Caenorhabditis elegans: one gene and its partners. The protein of the gene in region 3 interacts with the protein of the main gene of each other region in a pairwise test. Each region holds a gene or a part of one and is shown on either strand. Other genes may lie near its edges. The genes, in order: M01E5.2, zyg-8, R06F6.8 and rps-27A.

Region 1 (5,713 bases), on a different chromosome or scaffold from region 3:
ATTGTTTTAGAAAAGAAAATAAATAATGGCTTACACAAATTGTTTCAATAACTCTCTAATTGCTTTTTGTGCCTTTTGCGCAGTTACACCTTTTCCTGGCGAAATTCTTCCTGTTAAGAAAATCATGAAGTTTCCAATTTTTTTTTAATGTCTCCAGAATTTTCTAAAACGTTCTAGCAATTTTAGGATTTTTCCAGAAGTTTTCAGAAGTTTCTAGATGTCTTCAGATTTTTCTAGAAAGTTCTAGCAGATTCTAGAGTTTTATAAAATTTTCCCGGTTTTCCTAGAAAAGTCTAGAAGCTTCTAAATTTTTCCAGAAGATTCTGAGTTTCTCTAAAACTTTTTAATTTTTTTTCCAGAATTTTCCAGAAGTTTCTAGAAGTTCCCAGACTTTTCTAGAAGATTCCAGGTTTTCCTTGTATATTCCAGAATATATTCCAGAATATATTCCAAAATATATTCCAATTTAGAACGGTAGATGAAGTTTCCAATTTAGAACGGTAGATGAATTTTCTAATTTAGATTGTTACACGAAAAAATAGATTGTTACACGAAAAAATAGATTGTTACACGAAAAAATAGATTGTTACACGAAAAAATAGATTGTTACACGAAAAAATAGATTGTTACACGAAAAAATAGATTGTTACACGAAAAAATAGATTGTTACACGAAAAAATAGATTGTTACACGAAAAAATAGATTGTTACACGAAAAAATAGATTGTTACACGATAAAATAGATTGTTACACGAAAAAATAGATTGTTACACGAAAAAATAGATTGTTACACGAAAAAATAGATTGTTACACGAAAAAATAGATTGTTACACGAAAAAATAGATTGTTACACGAAAAAATAGATTGTTACACGAAAAAATAGATTGTTTCACGAAAAATAGATTGTTCTAAAATAAGTGGCTCTGGCAGTTCACTAAAATAAGTGGCTCTGGCAGTTCACTAAAATAAGTGACTCTGGCAGTTCACTAAAATAAGTGGCTCTGGCAGTTCACTAAAATAAGTGGCTCTGGCAGTTCACTAAAATAAGTGGCTCTGGCAGTTCACTAAAATAAGTGACTCTGGCAGTTCACTAAAAATAGTGACTCTGGCAGTTCACTAAAAAGAAGTCTACGCATCGGGCTCTTGCGAGACGGCGACTTGAGTTTAATTGGATTCAAGGTCAACGGAAAATAAAATTATTTATTAAAAATCTAACTAAATCATTTATCATATTGTTCTCTAAGATGCTCTAATAGAGGCTCCAATCCTATCCGTTGTTGTGCAGAAACAGGAAATACAGGGAGATTCGGGAAGAGTGAAGAGAGGTGGTGAGCTTCTTCCTCCGGGCTCTTCCCTGATAAATCAATCTTATTGATTACAATTGTTGATGCTCGATCTCCAAGCCCTTTTTGATATCCTTCCAGTTCAACGCGGAGCATTTTGTATTGATCTGTCAGTGATCCAGTGGAATAGTCCAATACGTACCACAGGGATCTGAAAACACGATATGTTTAACCTTTTAGCATGGAAGAAGAACACGACCATTTGTAGATTTACTCAGCTCGTGTACTCCACGAGGAAAAGATTTCACAGTTTTTTTTTAACTATTAGAATTGGTACATGTTTAATTTACTGTTGAACTTGAACTTGAGCCAAAATAGGCTAAAATCTAGTTTTTCAGCCTAAATCTTATCCTCGAGGACTACACGATCTGCGTAAATCGACACAGTGAATGTTCCCTTACTCGCATCGTTCGATATGCTTCAAAAAAGAGATTCCGAGCCCTTTGTTCAAATGAGAATCCTCAATGAGCCCTGGAATATCGGCAACCGCGATTTGCTCGAAATCCTCATAGAATACAACACCAATATGCGGGTGGAGCGTTGTAAATGGGTACGAGGCGACTTTCGGTTTGGCTCGGGAAATTGCACGGAGCAGCGAACTGAAAATTGAGCACATTTTGGTCTCGTCGCGAAAATTATATGAAATTTCCAGAAAAACTCACGATTTTCCAGCATTCGGGAATCCAACCAGGCCTGCTGTCGCCATAACTCGCATTTCCACGTCGTAAATTAGCTGAAAAAATTTTATTTGAATTTTTCGCCCAATTCGGAGTGCATGTTCGGGATCAGCGCAAAATTTAGGCCCGGATCGATGTGCGACATGCCCGATGCCTACTTTGTGCCTACGGGTAGGCAGGCTGTAGGCATGAAGTAGGCACAAAGCAGGCCCGGCCTATTCTGGTCATGTCGCACATCATTACGATCCAAAATTTTACGCTCATTCCGAATTTTAACTCCAAATCGACTACAAACTGAAATTAAAAGAGATATGAACAAAACCTCTTCTCCTTCTCCTCCATACTCTGCTTTAAATGGTTTTCGGACCTCATTCGACACATAAAACTGATTTCCACGTCCTCCAACTCCGCCACGTGCCGCAATGAACATCTAAAAAAAGTGTTGAATGTTGTAAGTACGCTCCATCGAGAGAATCTCACATCATTTTCGTTGTTTAACTCAAAAATTGTGTTCCCATCAGCTTTGAATACGGTACCAAGAGGTACTTCAACTTCTTTATGGTCTGCTGATTTTCCGTGACATGATTTTGATCTGGAAAATGTAGAAATTAGATTTTTTACGATTTTTTTGTGGTAGCCGGATACCTGCCGAATTCTCCATTTTGAGCCCGTACGATTGAGTGAACTGTCGAGAGATCTTTACTACTGCGACTGGCTGAAAATTTGATTTTTTTTTAGAATTTGTAGCTTTAAAATTAATTTTTAAAAACTTTTTTTTTCTAAGTTTAAATTTTTCTCAATAAATCGCAAAGTTTTCGCGCTAAATTTGAAATAAATTTATATTAAAAATCAGAAAGCTTGACTGAAAATTGAATTTTCTATACATTTTTCAATTTTTCATTATTATTTTATAAAATTTTACCATGGAACGTAATTTACGGAAGATTAATCAAAAAACTGTGAAAATTCACTTCAACTGTTAAAAAGACTACTTTTTAGTGGAAAATCTTGAAATTTTAGGTGAAAATGTGTTAAAATATCGGTTTCCGCAGAATTTTAGAGTTAAAAAATTGTAAAATTTCACTCAAAAATGAAAAATTTACGACTAAAACGTATTTCCATTTTTGAATTTTTTTTTTTTCGTATGAAAAAAAACCAAATTTCACAATTTTCTTGAATGCTCACCGGTGTTCTATTAAATTTTTGCTGAAAAATCAATTTTTCACAGTCTCGGGTCCCACCACGAAAATCAGCTACCGTACCCGCTTATTTTTTTTCTAACTCACTTTTGATTTTTATTTCAAATTTTAACAAGTTTGGACTATGTAAAAAATCAAGGAAATCCCAAAAATTGCGGTTACTGTAGCTGAAAAGTTTTTTTCGTGGCGAGACCCAAGTTGGTTGAGTTTTTCGTTGAAAAAATTGATTTTTTCGTGCTTTTCCAATAATTCAGCATGCAATAAGTACCTCGAAAAACGACATGTCCCCCATGTCCACCATCACCACCATCTGGACCACCAAATGGTTTCCGATATCCACGAAAAAATGAAACCATTCCATTTCCACCATTTCCAGCCTGACATCTAACACGTCGATAATCAATAAATGAAGTGGCTTCTCCTTCGGATTTCGGCTTTTTCGGCGATAAAATTGGACGTTTTGATAGGACGGAGCACGCGGTTTTGGAGCATTTTTGCAGGGAAATTCGCATTTTTTTCCAGTAATTTTTTCTAAAATTTAATTTTGCAGAATTTTTTTTCAATTTTATAAATGAATTTTGATGTAAAATCTATATAAAAATGAAAAAATCAATAATTTTTTCAAAAAGTTGTCTCTAAGCCCCGCCTATTTTTCCGTGCAGCACTTTGAATTTTGTTGAAATTTTCAGAAAGGCGAAAAAAAATTTTTGCAGCGTTTGAAGACATTTTTTTTGTTTATTTTTATTTTTATTTTATAACTGAATTTTAATGTAAAATCCATGAAAAAAATGAACAAATCAATAAAATTTTATTGTCTCTAAGCTCCGCCCACTTTTCCGTGCCGCACTTTTCGAAATTTTCGGAATGGCGAGAAACGAAACTTTTTTGGTTTTTTTTTAATTGGAAAAATTTTAATTTTTAATGTTTTTTCAACTTTTGAAGACATTTTTCGACTATTTTTTTAAATAATTTTTTTTTTTGATTTTCTCCGAAAAAAACCGAAAAAATAGAAAATTTCGGATTTTGGCTGAAATTTTTCCACAAAAATCCTTTTTTTTCACTAGAAAATAAAGAAATTAATCGAAAAATTAGCGCCGAACCTGGAAAATGCGGCACGGAAAAATGGGCGGAGCTTAAGAATGAGCGCGCGGCAATTCAAATGCTCATCAAAATTAGCGATTTTTCTGGGAAAAATATGGAAAACCATCGAAAATTTTACTGTTTTGAAAAAATTCGTTTGAAAGTAATTTAAAATACATTTTCATTGGAAAAACAAAATCTCCAAGTCAGCGAGAAGGAGAAGGAACACGAGAAATATTGTGGACAATATATCAAATAAGCCGCTGAGAGACACAATAATTGGAGCTTATAGGCTATGTAGGTGTGAAAAAAAAACATTTCAACAAAAAAAGAAGCGAAATTGTTCGGCGGAGTACGTCAAACTGTGAATCAAGCGAGAGAGAGAGAGAGACAGGGAATTAGAGAAGACATGGTAAATTATTTTTGGGTAAAATTAAGTGATTTTAGCATTAAGAATTAAAAGGAAAAAAGGGAAAATTCTGTACAATTTCAAATTTGTATGAAAATTGGTGGGAAAAAATGAATAAGAGAGAACACACACTGGGATTACTGAAAGTTTTAGTATATGAAGAAAAGTTTTTAAAAAGCGGGTTTTTTTTCGAGAAAAACAGGAGGACCGAAAAGGCACAAACGACGACACATTGGGCTATTTTTAATGAAAAATTGGAAAATTTTCAGTGCGAAAACTTCAAAAAAGGTACAGAAATGACTGTGACAGTATTAAATAATAACAGGGGAAATCTGAATATTTCAGATTTCAAAAAAAAAAAAGTGGTGGGGGGACTGGTTTGAAACGAAATGATATCCTAAATACTACCCGGATACGTGAAAATTCAATGGAGATGAAGAAGAAAATGGGATTATTTGGGGAAAATCAAGAATATATTAGTGAGAAAGATTAGTTGTTGAATGAAGAGGTGATTGTGGCCGTGGACGAGGGAAAACTATTCCATAACTGCTCGGCCATCCATCATGAATTGTCCGTCGACTCCTCCTACTTCCATCACTTCATCGTCTGCAAAATTGGAGAGATATTATTTTTTTTAATCAATTTAGATTTTTTTAAAATTTTGGCATACATTTTTTAACCGAAATTTTTTTAAATTTTGTTTTAAAAATTTTTTTATGGGTTTTTTGTAAGAAATTGATATTTTCGGGTTTGTTTTCTCGAAAATTGGTTTTTTTTTTGATTATTTGTTTTTAAAAAGTTTTTAATGGGATTTTTATTTATTTATTTTTAGTTTTAGTAAGAAATTGGCATTTTCGGGTTTTTTTTTTTGTAAATCAAAAATTGGTTTTTCTCGGAGTTTATGTCGAAAATTGGTTTTCTAAAAGTTTCTGGTAGAAAATTGTTTCTTTTTTGGTTTTTATTTGTCTAAAATTACAATTTTTCGGTTTTTGTAAAAAAATTGATT
Region 2 (4,576 bases), on a different chromosome or scaffold from region 3:
GATTAGCTCCGCGCCCATTTTTCAACCAATCAGATGAAGTGGGCGGGGAGTTCTCTTTTTGGAGGGAATATAACCGAATTTTCACCAACCAATCAGCGCCTTCGAACTCCGCCCACTCCATCTGATTGGTTGGAAAGTGGGCGGAGCTAATCGCTGATTGGTCGCAGTGTAAATTGGGTTTTTGTGTTTTTTTTGGGAAAAAATTCGAAAAAAAAACAAAAAACACCGATTTTTTCCAATTTTAGACAAATTCCCACTGCGACCAATCAGCGATTTGCTCCGCCCATTTTTCAACCAATCAGATGAAGTGGGGGGGGGGGGGGGGGGGGGGTTTCGAAGGCGCTGATTGGTCGGGTAAAGTTTCATTTTGGAGGGAATTCAAAATTGATTGTTTTTTTCGCTTTTTTCCTATTTTCGTAATGAAAAAAAATTTTTTTTTTGTAAGTTGCGACGGTTCAACATTTTTAAGAAAAAAGACAAAAAATTCAAAAAAAATCTGCGACCAATCAGCGATTAGCTCCGCCCACTTTTGAACCAATCTGAAGAAGTGGGCGGGAGTTCTCGTTTAGGCATCTTCAAACTCCGCCCACCTCACCTGATTGGGCGAAAAATGGGCGGAGCGAATTGCTGATTGGTCGCAGAAAAATTCGAATTTTTCGTTCTTTCGCATATTTTTTTTTTGAATTTTTTGTCTTTTTCATTCAAAATTTTGAATCGCCGCCACTTTTTTTGGTTGAAAAATAATTTTTTTTTCCTTAGGAAAATAGGAAAAACGCGAAAAAAACAATCATTTTTGAATTCCCTTCAAAATGAGACTTCACCCGACCAATCAACACCTTCGAACTCCACCCACGTCGCCTGATTGGTTGGAAAGTGGGCGGCGGAGCGAATCGCTGATTGGTCGGGGCGATTTTTTGCTCTCACCTCGCCGTCTTCTTGTTCAACAAATGCCTACTAATCCGCCTTGGCTTCACCCCATTCCGAATAACCTTGATAATTCGTGGAAACACGAAATCCGTATTCTCATGACACGGCTCTACGACACTCAACGCCAGCTTCTTCGTCTCCAAGTGTCGATTGTATCGATTGGCAAGTGTCAGACGCCAACTTGGCTCGGCGGCTCTCGAATAATCGACCGGTTTGAAAGCGTCGGTACTCGAACACACATAACCACCGCCGTCTTCGAATTGATCTACGGAAGTGATGCGTTGAGCGCCGTCGATCGTGAAAATGTGACGGATTCCGTGTGGAAGAGCCGTCGAGTCACAGATTACAGTTTTCATCAAATCTTCCATAAGTGGTTGCATACTCTTCACCCGGTCACTTTGTAAAGCATACTGAATCCCTTTGAAATATTGATCCCCATTTCTATAGAACCGGAGTCGCTTGGCTTTCAGTAAATGCGGATACCCGGATGGCCCGATTCGACACCTCCGCTGCATTTCTGAGACCATATCCCTGGACTCTGCGAGCTCATCTCCATTCGTTCCCTCGGTTTCCATGGCACATACGGATGACGTCATTGACGCTTCCGCAGTGTTCGTGCCACTATTCGGCATGCTTCCCTGGGAAATTGCCGTTGGGAAGACGCTTGTCTGATTGAGATTAAGAGTCGATGCTCGTGGAGTTGTCAGTGTTTCTTCACTGATCACTGCGGTCTGATTGTGATGAATATGATGGTGGAAGTGTTGTTGAGGAAGATGCGAGAATCGACGATGTGCGGAGGATGTTGATGGAGCAGATGATGATGGACTGATCTTTCTATGAACAACTGGAGATGATGATGATGTCAAGACTGCGGAGAGAGGACGTGTCGAATGAGGGAGATGGGCTGGAAATTAGGATTATATTACACGGGAACACAAAAAAATATTTAACGCGCAAAATATCTCGTAGCGAAAAGAAAACTACAGTAATTCTTTATATGACTACTGTAGTGTAGATTTACAGGATCTCGATTCTTTAGATTCAATTATTTTCGAATAGTGATAACGATCAAGGGTGTCGGTTTTTTCGATTTTTGAAAATCGAAAAATCGATATTTCGAAATTTTTTCGATTTTTTAAAAATTCGCTTAAACTTTGATCATTGTTCTTATTTTTAGATGTTCTTTATCATGAATATATAAACAAAATTAGATTTTTAAAAAATCATATCTTATGGGTAATTTTCTGAATTTCGGAAAATAGAAAAATCGAAAATTTTAGGGGCCGCTTTTTCCGGCAAATCGGCCAATTTGCGGAAAATTTAAAATCCGGCAACTTTCCGATTTGCCGGAAAATTTAGGGGCCATTTTTTTCCGGCAAATCCGGCAATTTGTCGATTTGCCGGAAAAATCGTTTTCAACAGTCTGACGGTATTAATCATTTTTTAATAGCTTTTTACAAATAAAAATGTCTCTTTTTTCAAGTTTTCAACTCAGTACTATTGAAATTAAACAATCTATCCGTGAATTTTGCAAAAAAGCAGCATCGCACCGAAAAAGAGGCGGAGTGTAATTTCGTAATTTCGCAACCTTGCGGCACGGTTTTTTCTCTATTTTTTATTTGTCTTTTTTCGAATGAAAGTATTACCCAATTTACTTATTATTAGATTGTGAGGATATTTCATGGTTGTAAAAAAAATGAAATTAATCGAAAAAAAAAATTCAGAAAAAAAGGAGAAAAAACCGTGCCGCAGGGTTGCAAAATTACGCTCCGCCTCTTTTTCTGTGCGACGCTGCTTTTTTGTTGCAAAATTCACGGATTCATCATTAAAAAAAACCATATCCCGTAAGCTGAAGCAAGCAAGCCACCAACGGGGAAATTCAAGCCAAACACTCAATTCTTACGTCGTTTGAATCGTGGAATATTCGACGTTTTTCCAGCAGCGGAAACCCTCTTCGATACACGTGGCAATGTGTTGGCTCCATTCATAGATGCTCCATCCGATCCTCCAGCTTCAGATCCAGGTGGTGGTGGTGGTGGTGGTGGTCTAGCAGTTGTGTCGTTGAGCTGCCACGCCGACGTTTGTGGCATCGTTCGAGTAGAGATAGTCTAACACCGAAAAAAAACACCAAATTAGCGATAGTTAGGCGCAACCACGAGAGGAGGACGGAGCGGTGTCAGGCCGTCCCATTACGGTTTGATCTACCAAAAATGCGGGAGATGAGACGCAGATTTCTCAGCTGATTTAGCATCGAATGAGAGTGTACTGACGTCACATTTTCCTGGGGGAAAGTTCCCGCATTTTTTGTAGATCAAACCGCAATGAGACTGCCTGACACCACGTGGGGATATACCACGTGGCAACAGGCCGTCCCATTACGGTTTGATCTACCAAAAATGCGGGAATTTTTGGCCCAAAAAATGTGACGTCAGCACGTTCTTAACCATGCGAAATCAATTGAGAAATTTGTGTCTTTTCTCCCGCATTTTTTGTAGATCAAACCGGAATGGGCCTTGGATATGAAAAAGAGAAAGGAATGCAAAATCAAAAGATTGGACAGAAAATGAACTAAAAATCGAGGAGGACAATTCCAATCGGGTATGGTGCAAGTGCTATAGACGGGAATTAATCTTTTTTTTTGTTATTTTAGAAAAACAATTTTTTTTTCTGAAAAAAAAGTGGAAAATTCAAATTTTTTTGAGATTTTCTGAGCAAAATTAAAGTTTTCTGGGAAAAAAAATTTTTGTCGGGGATTCAAATTTTCCGAAAAAAAATTTGGCGGGAAATTTAAAAATTTTAGAATTTTTTGGCGGGAATTCAAATTTTCGGAGAAAATATCTATTTTGGCGGGAGATTCAAATTTTCTGTGAAACAACTATTTCGTCGGAAAATTCAATTTTTTTTCGAGAAAAAAAACCTATTTAGGCGGGAAATTCAAAATTTTTTTAATTTTTTTTTGGCGGGAAATTCAAATTTTCGGAAAATATCTATTTTGGCGGGAAATTCAAATTTTCCGAAAAAAAAATTTGGCGGGAAATTTTTTTTTATTTTTTCGAATTTGTTTTGGCGAGGATTCAAATTTTCTCTTAAAATAATTTTGGCGGGAAATTCAAATTTTCTGAGAAATTTTTTTTTTCGATTTTTTAAAGATTTTTGAAGCAAAATTTCCATCAGGCTGTCCCATAACGGATTGATCTACAAAAAATGCGGGAATTTTTCGCCCAAAGAAATGTGACGTCAGCACGTTCTTAACCATGCGAAATCAGTTGAGAACTCTGCCGCATTTTTTGTAGATCTAGGTAGATCAAACCGAAATGAGACGCCACGTGACACCAAAAAAAAGGAGATAATTTTACTATGCTATGACTAGCTGACAATTCGAATCATTGTCCAAAATGAGCTGTCCGCGAGCATTGGTCTCCAAAATGCATGGAATGTCGAATGTGGGAATTAACTAGGCGTGCACACAGAGAGCAGTGAGCAGTGAGCTGCTTCTCGTTTTCCTCTCATTCGAAAGAGCTAAAGGGCAGACGGGTGTTGTTGTGGGTTGATTTGGCTGACGGGAGGGGCGCGCGCGAGCCAACGCAGAGCCGGGGGACGGAATAGACGAGGGATTAGTTAGGGGGTATCCGGAGGGACCACAGAGCCA
Region 3 (7,708 bases):
AGTCAAATCGTTTCCAGCGCAGTAATATGATCCATTGGCAGTAATCACAGTGATTGAGGTGCTCTTGTCATTGTTGGAGACCTCCAGTGCCTTTTGAATTCCTTGATACATTTCCAATGTCAATGCGTTGAACTTCTTTGGTCTATTCAATGCGATTTTGAACACTTTTCCCTCGCGAGTCACACTTAAACCGTCAACGTTCTCAAGTCCTTCGATTGATGGCCCAGTTGGTTCTGGAGCAGCAGAAGCTTCTTCGGAAATGAGTCCACCGACCAGTTTAGCATAGTTGGCGCGAGCTTCATCCTGAGTTTGTCCCTTCAAAGTATTCCAGGCATCATACTTGGCTCTTCCAACGAAATCCATCATTCCCGGGCGTTTTCCTTGCACATCCCCAGCGGTGGCTTGTTTGAAAAGCCCGTAGAGCTGCAGTTTCACGTCATTGTCCGGCTCTTCCTTCAGAGTTTTCAGATTTTTCTGCGCCTTCTCGAAGTCAGCCTGGGCAGAGAACGAGCGAACGGAACTGAAATTGAAGATTTATTCACAAATTAGATGATTTTTGCAGACTTACACTTGCGGATTGTAGAGAACACTTCTAGCGGCGAGGGTGAGATTTCGAAGCATTCTGAAATGAATTAAAATTGATTTTTTAAACGTTATAATTAATTTTTTCGGGGAAAAGAGAAAAAAAGAAAGAAAATGGACAACGTGAAGAAAAGAACAAGGTACACGGAGGGGCCGGGTAAATGATAAGAACGGCCGCCGTCTTTTTGTTGTTTTGAATGAACTGGCTACACACAAGAATACACATTGTAATGTGTAGCTGGACAATCGCTACTATACGCAAGACAATAGTGGAGCAATTATAAATGGGATAAATAATAGATTCAGGAAAATTTGGAGTTTCAATTTTTTTAAAAGAGAGCTCAAATTGTATAGATAACCTGGAAATTAAGATTTTAATATTAGAAAAAACAGTGAAAATCAAATTATAATCCCTAGGAGTCCTAGGAGAAATCCCCTCCTAGGAGAAATCAGAAAACTGATAAATAAAATCAATAAAATTTGCAGACAAAGGACGTTCACGGCCAAGGGTGTCAGTGTCCTGTAAAAATTACAAAAACGGGACAACGGGAATTCTCGTTCCCGTGAAAATTTTAAAAACGGGACAACAGAATTCCCGTTCCCGTGAAAACACCCCAAAAACGGGACAACGGGACAAACGGGACACGGGAATTGACACCCTTGTTCACGGCAACTACAAAATGCACAATACTTTGTCTACAGTACTCTGATTCAATTGTTTTGTTGTTTTTTTTTGTTAATTCTTTTTTTTTTGGTGTTAATTTTATTATTTAAATATGAATTTGTTATTTTTCGAGTGAAATCATTTTCATCCACGCAATCCTGAACGCCTGAAATTTTTGAAAAGTCTGCGTCTCTGCCCTCTAACGCGTGGCAACCGAGCGCGATTGCTCTTGAAAAATATTCACAGCTGGAGGCCTTTTTATTCTGTTTGAAACGTTTTTGCGTTCCAAATACAAAATAAAATCAATCTCCTAATTTTTAAATCAAGATGTCGAATTGAATCTGCTAAAAATTGAACGCGCTTCTTTATTACTGAGCTTTTAATCGCAAAAAACCGTTTTCCCCCGAATAATTAATATTTTTCAACAGAATACAACATTTGATGGATCTGGCATAGAATGTTCATACCTGTAAGTTTCCTTTAGAATTTTTTTAATAAAAAATAATTTTTGAAAATTCCAGAATGACAGGCCATCGGTTCTCCAGCTTCCGAAGCATGAAAAGGATTCGACTGCCGCCGATATCAAGTCAATTGTGGCAAATCGAGATCGAAGATTGATAGCAGTCGCAACAAATGATGCGATTTACATTTGGCTGGCAAATGTTAGTGCTGAAAACTAATAAAAATCTGATTAAAAAAACATAAATTCAGCCCCAACTGCTCCTGTGCTCCGTCGGGGTTATCGATGCCAATTTCAAAGAAACACGTGGAGAATTAAAAGAAATTTACTGGAAACCTGACTCAACAAGTATAGCTGTAACGGTAATATTTAAATTTTACAGTTCTTTCTTTGAAAATATTATATTTTTCAGACAAATCAATGCAAAATTTTAATCTATAATCTAGATTTGCGAGACGATGAACAATGCTACAATTTCACAGACTCTGCGGATCCATATTTCCAACGAAACTCACCGGAACTTTTTATAAAAGGATCTCGACCGACAGCTCATCTTCATCCAACAATAATCATAAATCTGGCTGATATACCAACATGTTGTGTTCCTTCTCGTGATGAATTTCTTGTTTGCCTTCAAAATGGATTCACTCATCATGTCACTTGGACTGGAGAGATTATTGCAAGCCTCTCATTCCGTGCCAGTTCAATTCCGTTCTCCGTGGATCAACTTCAGTCGAAATCTGAAAATATTACTTCAAAATCCACGTATATCTTTGACGCCGTGTATGCTCCACTTCTCGGAGGATTTGCGATTGTACTTTCCGATGGTCAAGGTGCTCTATTGACGTCGAATGATCCGAATTTTGCACCTAATGTGAGATTTTTATCATGAAAAATTAAAAAAAAAACCCATTTTTTATTATTCCAGGCAATTCTGGGAGTGTGGGCTCCGAATATGAAAGATGCCACGTGTTGCGATGTGAATCACAAGTTCCTTCTGATTCTTTTTGGATGTAAAAAGTGAGTTTTTTCAGATTTTTCAGATTTTAATTTTCAAAAATCAAACGCACAGTTTTCTTTTTAATCTAAACTATTTCCAGCGGCGACGTTTGTGCCTATAACATCGATGAACTAAATGGCTCACTCGTTCAATCGTTCCGAGTTGCTCCAAAAGTAACAAATGGTCCTGACTTGACGAATCGACTGGGTCCGGTTCACCGAATAACAGCCCTCGCGAATGGATACGGATTCGGTGCAATTTGGTCTCCACTATCCGGAGCTCATGCTCTTCCTCGGCTCGTCGCAGTTTTCACTTCATTCGGAGCTCAATCATTTTGCAATCTGGAAGGTGTCGTCGAAGAAGATCAAAATGATAGATACACGGCTATTGAATGGGGTCCAGAAGGTTTCCAACTGTGGCTTGGAACTGAAAATGAGCTTATGATGCAACCATTCGTGAGGAGTGCTTCATGTTCAAGCCCGGCAATGGAACATTGTGATAGAGCTGTATTGATGAGTGACTCGCAGGTTTTGATCAGTGCTGCAAGGGATCGAGAAGCAGAAGCTTGTGCACCGCATTCTGTATGGGATCATATTACAGTTACACATGAATATCTATCATCTAATTGGCCACTGAGAGTGAGTTTTTTAAAAGTAAAAACTAAAAGCATAAATTTGGTAAAACCATGAGGTAGGCATGTAGGCACGTAGGTATTTTCCGATAGAGTTTATTAAAATAAAATGTTAAAATTTAATATGTTTTCAGTATGCATCAACTGATCGAAACTATAAACATCTCGTCGTGGCCGGTGATCAAGGAATGGCATATTGTTCATTATCCAATCGACGTTGGAAGATTTTTGGAAATGAGACTCAAGAGAAGAATCTCTTGGTCACTGGAGGTGTCTTTATTTGGAATGATGACGTCATTGGAGTTGTTGGAGTTGCTGCGGATACTGACAAGTCCCATCTCTCATTTTATCCAATTTCTCAGAGACTTGACAGTCGATATGCGTCGGTTGTGGATTTGGAGCATAAATCGGTCATGTCCGTGTTACGGTAAGAAATATTCAATCTTGGAAATGAACTCTCATTATCAGTTTTTTTGGAATTATTCTAGATTCAGTGACATTAATATTTTCCCAATTTTTCCAGCGACGACGTTTGTGCAGTATTCGATATATCGGCTCAAATTACGCTTTATAAGCTCACGGCTCACTTGGAAACTGGACGAGATGCTTTTACAAAAGTCTCCACTGAAATTGTGACTGTTATTCGAATCAACGAAATTGTTCCACATCCAACATGTATTGTATCTCTTCAAATGACACAGCTGAATCTGGATGTACGGGGGAAGTTGTCACCTGCATTTTATTCAAGTATCGATACTGTGCTGGTTAATATTTCGGGAAGATTGATCACTTTGAGTGTTAATGAGGATGGAAAGGTTTGTACGGAAAATTAAAATTGCATGGTTTCTGAGTTTCCAGAATTTTGCAAAATTTGATGAATATTTAGAATTTTTGGAATTTTTAAATTTTATATTCTTGTCCAATTTTTGGTATTTCAGAAATTTTTAAAACATTCTGAATTTTTTGAATTTTCAGAACTTCTAGAGTTTTCGAATTTTTGGGTTTTCTGGAATTTAAAAAAAATTAAAATATTTTGGAATTGAATTTTTTGTTTCGAAATTTAATAATTTTCAATTTTTAGAAATTTCAAAATTTTTCCGTTCCTAGATTTTTCAACATTTTGAATTTCAGTATTTTTAAAACATGAAAAATTTTTCCTTTTTCCTAAATACTCGGTTAACTCGGTTAAACTAATTTTTTTCAATTTTCAGAATTTTTCAATTTTGGAATTTTGCAAAATTCAGTTTCTTTTTAATTTTCGGATTTTTTAAAGTTTTGAATTTGTGAAATGATTCAAATTTAGACTATTTGAATTTTCTGGAATTTTGGAAGTTTTGGGATTTCTGAAATGTTTGGTTTTTAAATTAGAAATTTTTGGAATTCGGAAATACAATATTAAAATAAAATTTACAGCTCCATCAACCCATGGTAATCGCGTCATACGTGGAAAAAATGTGGCATGACCGTTGTCAAGTCTCCCAATCAACCCAGTCTCAAAATCAAGATCTTCCATGGAAGAACCATCGGCGAAATGGATCAAATGTTTCAATCCAAAGTGTTTCCACATCAACAACTTCAGAACCATCATCTCCAATGAATCAATCATGTTCTTCACATTTGAGTAATGCTTTATGGATTGCTTGTGGTGCAAAAGGAATCAAAGTTTGGATGCCGTTGGTGCCAGGAAAACGAAATTTAGCCACACAGGAAATGACGTTTATCGCGAAACGAATAATGCTTCCATTTGAACTTGATATCTATCCAATTGTGATTAGTGCCAAAGATTGTCTTGCAATGGGTGTCGAGAGTCAACTACAACATGTTGCAAGAGCTTCAAGAAATCAAGGACAAATGGAAAGTATCACTATGTATGGACTTCATCGCAATAGTGAAGTATTTGTGCATCACCTGCTCCGACAACTTTTGAAGCGAAATCTTGGAGTTTTTGCTTTGGAGCTCGCCGGAGCCTGTCGTTCTCTTCCACATTTCACGCATGCTCTTGAGCTTTTGCTCCATGGAGTCCTTGAAGAAGAAGCTACAAGTAGTGAACCAATTCCAGATCCTCTTCTCCCAAGATGTGTAGCTTTTATTCACGAATTTCCAGAATTTCTGAAAACCGTAGCACATTGTGCACGAAAAACTGAATTGGCACTTTGGAGAACGTTATTTGATGTCACAGGATCTCCAAATGCACTATTCGAAGAATGTCTACAACTGAAACAACTCGAAAATGCTGCAAGTTTCGTGATTGTCCTGCAAAATCTTGAAACCACCGAAGTGAGTATGGATCAAGCAGCGAGACTTGTGAAGGAAGCATTAGAAGAGAAAAAATGGACGATTGCGAAGGAAATGGTCAGATTTGCAAGATCTATTGGTTCGGAGGATATTGATGCATTGTAAGAATTAATGAATTCATTAATAGAGAAATTAAAAAAGAATGCCTCCAAAAAGAGAACGCACGGAAAAAAGATTCCCAGAATACATGTGCCCTACATCCGTAACTCTCCTTTTATCAAGCGAGGTATTCAGAATCAAGGTCACCGTTGTTATCGTATCCGTTTCACGCTACGATCCACAGAATCGGCACCCACTTTGAAAAATAATTAAATGTGTTCAGAAATAGAATAATGACCGAAACTAAGTTGAATTCGCAACAACGAATTATTAGATACCGTAATCCACACATTTGCATTTGAAAAATTGGCCGTGTCGAGACCGGCTACCGTAGTTTTTAAGCAAACAAAAATAAAATTTGATAATAACTTTGCAATTGTTTTAATTTTTAAAAAGTTTCAGAACACCTCCACCAAGTGCCAAGACTTCTCTATCCCGCCGACCTACAGTATCCTCACCGTCCGCTGATTCTTCCACTGAATTCGTGATTAATAGATTTCAAGCGGGAGCTGCTGGAGGAAGATTAAATAAAGTTCGACATTCACAGAGTACTGAGCAAAAAGATGCACCGAGAAAAGATTCGATTGGCGGAAGTTCAAAGGATAAAATGGCGTTGTCTTGGGTTTGTGTGTTTTACTGGAAATTTTTATTTTTATAAAATCTAATTTCAGGGCCTATCTGGTGAACTTTCTCCACAATTGGCTACGAATCGACTCGCCGCAAAAATGACATCAATTCTAGAAGATCACGCGTGGCATTTGCTGAATAATTATTGGCTTCTAGATCTTGGTAATTGGAAAAAAAAATTCAGGACAATTTGGATTCAATTTTTTTCAGGATTCTTCTGGTCCGAACTTCAATTCGATTTGCTCGGTCTTTTGGAGACGCGACGGAAACAAATTTCTCTTTCACCGAAAACTACAAACGAAAATTGCTTTTTGATTGAAGATTTTGCCTTGGCACTTACAAGGTAAATTGGGATTCTTCCACTGAAAATGTAATAATTCAGAAATTTAAAAATAAACTTAAATTTTCGAGTTTTCCAGTTTTTTCGAGAATCTGAAAATCGAAAAAAAAACTTGAAATTTAATACTAAAAAATTTAAATTTTTAATTATTCCGATTTTTCGTGTTTTTCAGAAAAATGATACATTATACGGAAAAAAAATTTTTGATTTTAAATTTCCCGTTTTTTTTTTAATTTTTAAATTCTCGGAAAAATTGGAAAACTCGAAAATTTAAGTTTATTTTTAAATTTCTGAATTGTTACATTTTCTGTAAAAAATAATAATTAAAGAAAAAACACGAAACATTTTTTGGGGGAATTTTTAAAATCTAAAATTATTGGAAAAAAATGCAAATTTTATCTTTCAAAAAAAAAAAACTGAAATTTTGAAAATCGAAAAATTAAAAAAAATTTTAAGCGTTGTAAAAATATATGAGAAAAACCCAGAAGCTAAATATTAACCAGAAAAATGTAAATTTTGATGAGAAAAAATTATTGAAAAACTATCGGAAATTTTGAATATTCCTTCGATTTTGTCGATTTTCAATAAAAATTGGGAATATTTTTAATATAAAAAACTCTAATTTCAAAAATTTTCAGACTCCATGCTCAATTCTCGTGGCCATATCCTCTCATCGGTTCTCAATTCGTGCATCAAATTGAGAAGAAGCTTGGAAATATTCGTGTCAGCCAGAGTACTGCAAGCTTGAATGGACTACTAAATGACTCATTGGATAATATAAAGAAGCCTAAAGCCAGAAAATTGGAAAGGACTGTAGTTGATTTAAATGGAGCTAGATCGAGAATTCGTGAAACGGATATTGAAGCTAGCGAAGAAGACGTTGAGATTCAAGAAGCCGTGCTGGAAAGAGTACGTGGAAGTGCTGTGGAACTGGCACCAGTAATCGATAGATCCCCATCGACATCTTCTTCAATGAATCATCATGCTCCATTGGCTCCACCGTCACCTTC
Region 4 (3,164 bases), on a different chromosome or scaffold from region 3:
TAAAGCCGAATTTTAGCAATTTAAGCGGAATTTTCAGCTTTGAAAGCGGAATTTTTGAGCGTTTTAAGTTAATTCCCAGCTTTTTTCAGAGAAATGTTGGATATTTTGAGCCAAATACCAGCTTTTTAAACGGAATTTTGAGCTTTTTGAGGTGATTTTTTAGCTTTTTGAGCAAATATCCAGCTTTATGCAAAATTTCACTGCTTTTGGCCGATTTCTAGCTTTTTACGCGAAAAATGCAACAACGAGAGGTTTAGCGTTCAGAAAAGACATTTTGAACGAAAAATCCTAGGAATTTGGCGGGAATTCAATCCTCAATTCAAGGGTATCCTGGTCATGACCGGGCATCTCTTGCTATTTGAGAAGGCGGACACGTGAGATCTTGTTTTTTTCCAAAGTTATGACATCATAATTAAGTCATTGGTTAATTATTTTCTGGAGAATATTCAAATTCTGAAACAAATAATTCCTCCGATGTGTTACGAATAAACTTTTCTCCCGAAGAACATATAGCAAGAATATCAAAAATCAACATTTATTTTGATTGAAGGTTAAAAATTGGACAACAGTCTACTTCTTTCCCTTCTTTCCTCCCTTCTCGCCAGAGGTGGCAGCGGCAGTGGCGGTGTCAACGACGAGGGTGTCGTGGCATCTTCCGCAGTAGTGTCTGTTGGCGTGTTGAGCCATGAAGACTCCTCCTCCGCATGATGGTTGTTGGCACTCCTTGCGAAGACGGGTGATCTTGCCGTTCTCGTCGATCTGGAAATATATGATAATAATGGCCAGTAAAATATGAAAATTGGTTATCAGAAAATATCTACTCTGCTAATCTGCCTAGAAGATTTGAAAAGATTCAGGAACTCTAAACATCATCACGGAACTCTCAGAGGTCCTGACACCATATCAAAAATTCTTCATCATCATCGTTTCAAACTTTTTAGGCAGAGCTGGAGCAAGATATTTCTCACGAATTCGAAACTCTGCTTACCTTGTAGTACTTAAGGACGGCGAGCTTGACCTTCTTTGGCTTTCTCTTGTTCTTCTTTGGGGTGGTGTAGACCTTCTTCTTTCTCTTCTTGGCTCCTCCGAGAAGCTCAAGGTTGACGTAGATGGTGGCCTCAGAGTCGATTCCGCAATCGCTATCCTCGAGCTGACGTCCTTAACAGGTAAAAATCAAGAATGTGTACGGCAGGGTCTGTCCTCAAAGCGACCCGACGAGTGTCAGGAAATCGCTTCTCGAGATTCTGCGTGAAACGAAACGAACCGGCGTAGCAGAGTCTCTGCTCTTCGGCTGGAATTCCCTCGGCGGCCTCGATTTTTTGCTTGATGCTCAAGACATCCTCGTTGGCGGCGACCTCGAGGAACAAGGTTCTGTGGAGTGTCTTAACGAAGACCATGCTTGACTGACCCTAGTTCTGCAAAAAACAACAATAAATTGAGAGAAAAAAGGGGATTCAATAGAGAAAAATTGGACAAGATAGGAAAATCGATCAATTTTAACAGCAAAAACCAAAAAAAAATCAGAAAATTTAGGCCAAAACGCGAGAATAAAATCGAAAAAGTGTTGAAAAATAGAGAAAGTCGTCCTAAAATCCCCCGCCTACCGTATAACCTGCACTTCTAAGTAGTGCGGTGGGGCGCGCTTGCATTAAAATTGCGCGGCTTAAAAAAAATTTCAAGCGAATTTCGAGGTTTTCGGATGTGAATTTTCAGATTTTCAGGTTTCAGAAGTGGAAAATGATGACAAAATGTTAAAAATTTGAAAATTGAACGAAAAAGCTCCAGTTTCAGGTGGTTTTTGGTGAAAAAATGGTAAAAATCGAGTGAAAACGTTCAAATTCCAGATGAAACTTCATTGAATTTTACAATTTCTCCACAAAAAGCCACTTGGATATTGAGATTTACAGTGGTTAAAAAGGTGAAAAACCTGAAAATGGAAAGATTTCCGAATGGTTTTTCACGGCAAATGTTTAAAATTCACTAAAAAATTCAAAATTCAAGCTAGAATTTGGGAATTTTTCAGAAAAAATGTGCCGAAAACCCTTGTTTTTTCAGTTATAATCTCAAAAATCTGGAAGAAAAAATGTTGTCCCTTGTTTTTCGGTTTTCCCCGCGTCGAGTCGTCTTGAATTGCTCCGAGCCACCCTCCCAGACAACGAGAAATGTAATATTCTCAGTGGTGTGCTGTGCTCCCCGTCGCTCGCGTGAGTGAGCTCGAATCGATTCGACGCCGTGCTCCGAATTCTCAATTAACTCATGCAATTGTTTATGGGTGCTCTCGAGCCTAATTGCTCTTTTTTTCCCGACTTTTGGCCGTTTCGGAAAGGAAAAAGAATGCTTTTTTTTTCAAATTTCCTTCTGAAATTCTCCAAAAAAATCCCCACTGAACACCAAATATATATGTGCAATTGTTATGGACAAATGGACGAATGTCACCCATTTCTTGGGCACCCTTGGGACTATTTCAAAGTGGCTTCTGAGCAAAAAACAATGGAATTTTCATGCATTTTATATTTGAAGAGTAGTTTAACATTGAGTTTAAGGTCTGGAAAGTTGAGAAATTCGTAAAAAATCAATAATTTACCTTTTTCCAGGAATTGTTCAAAGTTTTTGAAAATTCCGCCTGGCGATTTTTGTAGAATATTAAAAATGAAGTATATTGATAGTTGAAAATTTTTTGATAGCTCTCACCGATTTGGAGATACTGACGGTTAAAGATTTTCGCAGAGAAATAGTGTGGAAGGAGGAGAGACGCAGACAGCGCGTGCCGTCTGCGTCTCTCCCCCTCCCACACTCTCTAGCGCCTCTAACTTTGAGCGCTTGTATCTCAGTGAGAAGAGGAGATATCAAAAAGTTTCCAACTAACAAAATATAGGAAATTTTAAGTGCTATAATTCGCTAATTGAAAATTTTTTTGATCGGTGCTCTCCGCCGAGTTACAGTACATTTATTTTTCCACTTTTAACATTTTAAAGGGAGGCTCATTTATACAGAATGGTCTTGCCGCGCGTTTAGTCATCATATTAAGTAGTTTCTGTGTAAAAATATCGCGTAGATCACAATTAACTTGTGGAAAAGCTACAGAAATACGAAATAAGTGATTCATATACTGTTATCTACACAAATTTCACACAGAAACTGCTTAAAATGATGACTAAACGCGC

The links.
Region 1: the proteins of R06F6.8 (region 3) and M01E5.2 interact in a two-hybrid assay, tested with the Caenorhabditis elegans proteins (one large-scale study listed by BioGRID).
Region 2: the proteins of R06F6.8 (region 3) and zyg-8 interact in a two-hybrid assay, tested with the Caenorhabditis elegans proteins (one large-scale study listed by BioGRID).
Region 4: the proteins of R06F6.8 (region 3) and rps-27A interact in a two-hybrid assay, tested with the Caenorhabditis elegans proteins (one large-scale study listed by BioGRID).

What each region holds. Positions count from the first base shown.
Region 1 is NC_003279.8:13,276,427-13,282,139, forward strand, and holds M01E5.2 (Mitochondrial ribosome-associated GTPase 2), read right to left. Parts: upstream 3,750-5,713; 5' UTR 3,731-3,749; coding exon 3,487-3,730; intron 2,735-3,486; coding exon 2,665-2,734; intron 2,612-2,664; coding exon 2,500-2,611; intron 2,450-2,499; coding exon 2,342-2,449; intron 2,076-2,341; coding exon 2,005-2,075; intron 1,942-2,004; coding exon 1,744-1,941; intron 1,494-1,743; coding exon 1,220-1,493; 3' UTR 542-1,219; downstream 1-541. Other genes in the region: M01E5.3 (RNase NYN domain-containing protein), read right to left, coding at 5,243-5,313.
Region 2 is NC_003281.10:12,060,180-12,064,755, reverse strand, and holds the start of zyg-8 (Serine/threonine-protein kinase zyg-8), read right to left. Parts: upstream 3,044-4,576; 5' UTR 3,018-3,043; coding exon 2,831-3,017; intron 1,832-2,830; coding exon 925-1,831; intron 1-924. UniProt on the Caenorhabditis elegans protein: Probable kinase. Kinase activity may be involved in positioning of spindle poles in meiosis and mitosis. Plays a role in spindle positioning during asymmetric division of one-cell stage embryos.
Region 3 is NC_003280.10:10,813,945-10,821,652, reverse strand, and holds the start of R06F6.8 (Guanine nucleotide exchange factor subunit R06F6.8), read left to right. Parts: upstream 1-1,674; 5' UTR 1,675-1,703; coding exon 1,704-1,715; intron 1,716-1,767; coding exon 1,768-1,908; intron 1,909-1,957; coding exon 1,958-2,068; intron 2,069-2,118; coding exon 2,119-2,580; intron 2,581-2,634; coding exon 2,635-2,726; intron 2,727-2,806; coding exon 2,807-3,344; intron 3,345-3,471; coding exon 3,472-3,764; intron 3,765-3,860; coding exon 3,861-4,152; intron 4,153-4,750; coding exon 4,751-5,733; intron 5,734-6,127; coding exon 6,128-6,353; intron 6,354-6,402; coding exon 6,403-6,520; intron 6,521-6,568; coding exon 6,569-6,701; intron 6,702-7,336; coding exon 7,337-7,708. Other genes in the region: ech-4 (Delta(3),Delta(2)-enoyl-CoA isomerase), read right to left, coding at 1-520, 569-621. UniProt on the Caenorhabditis elegans protein: Probable component of a guanine nucleotide exchange factor (GEF) that may be required for efficient fusion of endosome-derived vesicles with the Golgi.
Region 4 is NC_003281.10:3,066,568-3,069,731, reverse strand, and holds rps-27A (Ubiquitin-like protein 1), read right to left. Parts: upstream 1,416-3,164; 5' UTR 1,398-1,415; coding exon 1,265-1,397; intron 1,247-1,264; exon of another isoform or gene 1,170-1,246; intron 1,159-1,169; coding exon 989-1,158; intron 927-988; exon of another isoform or gene 849-926; intron 760-848; coding exon 571-759; 3' UTR 522-570; downstream 1-521.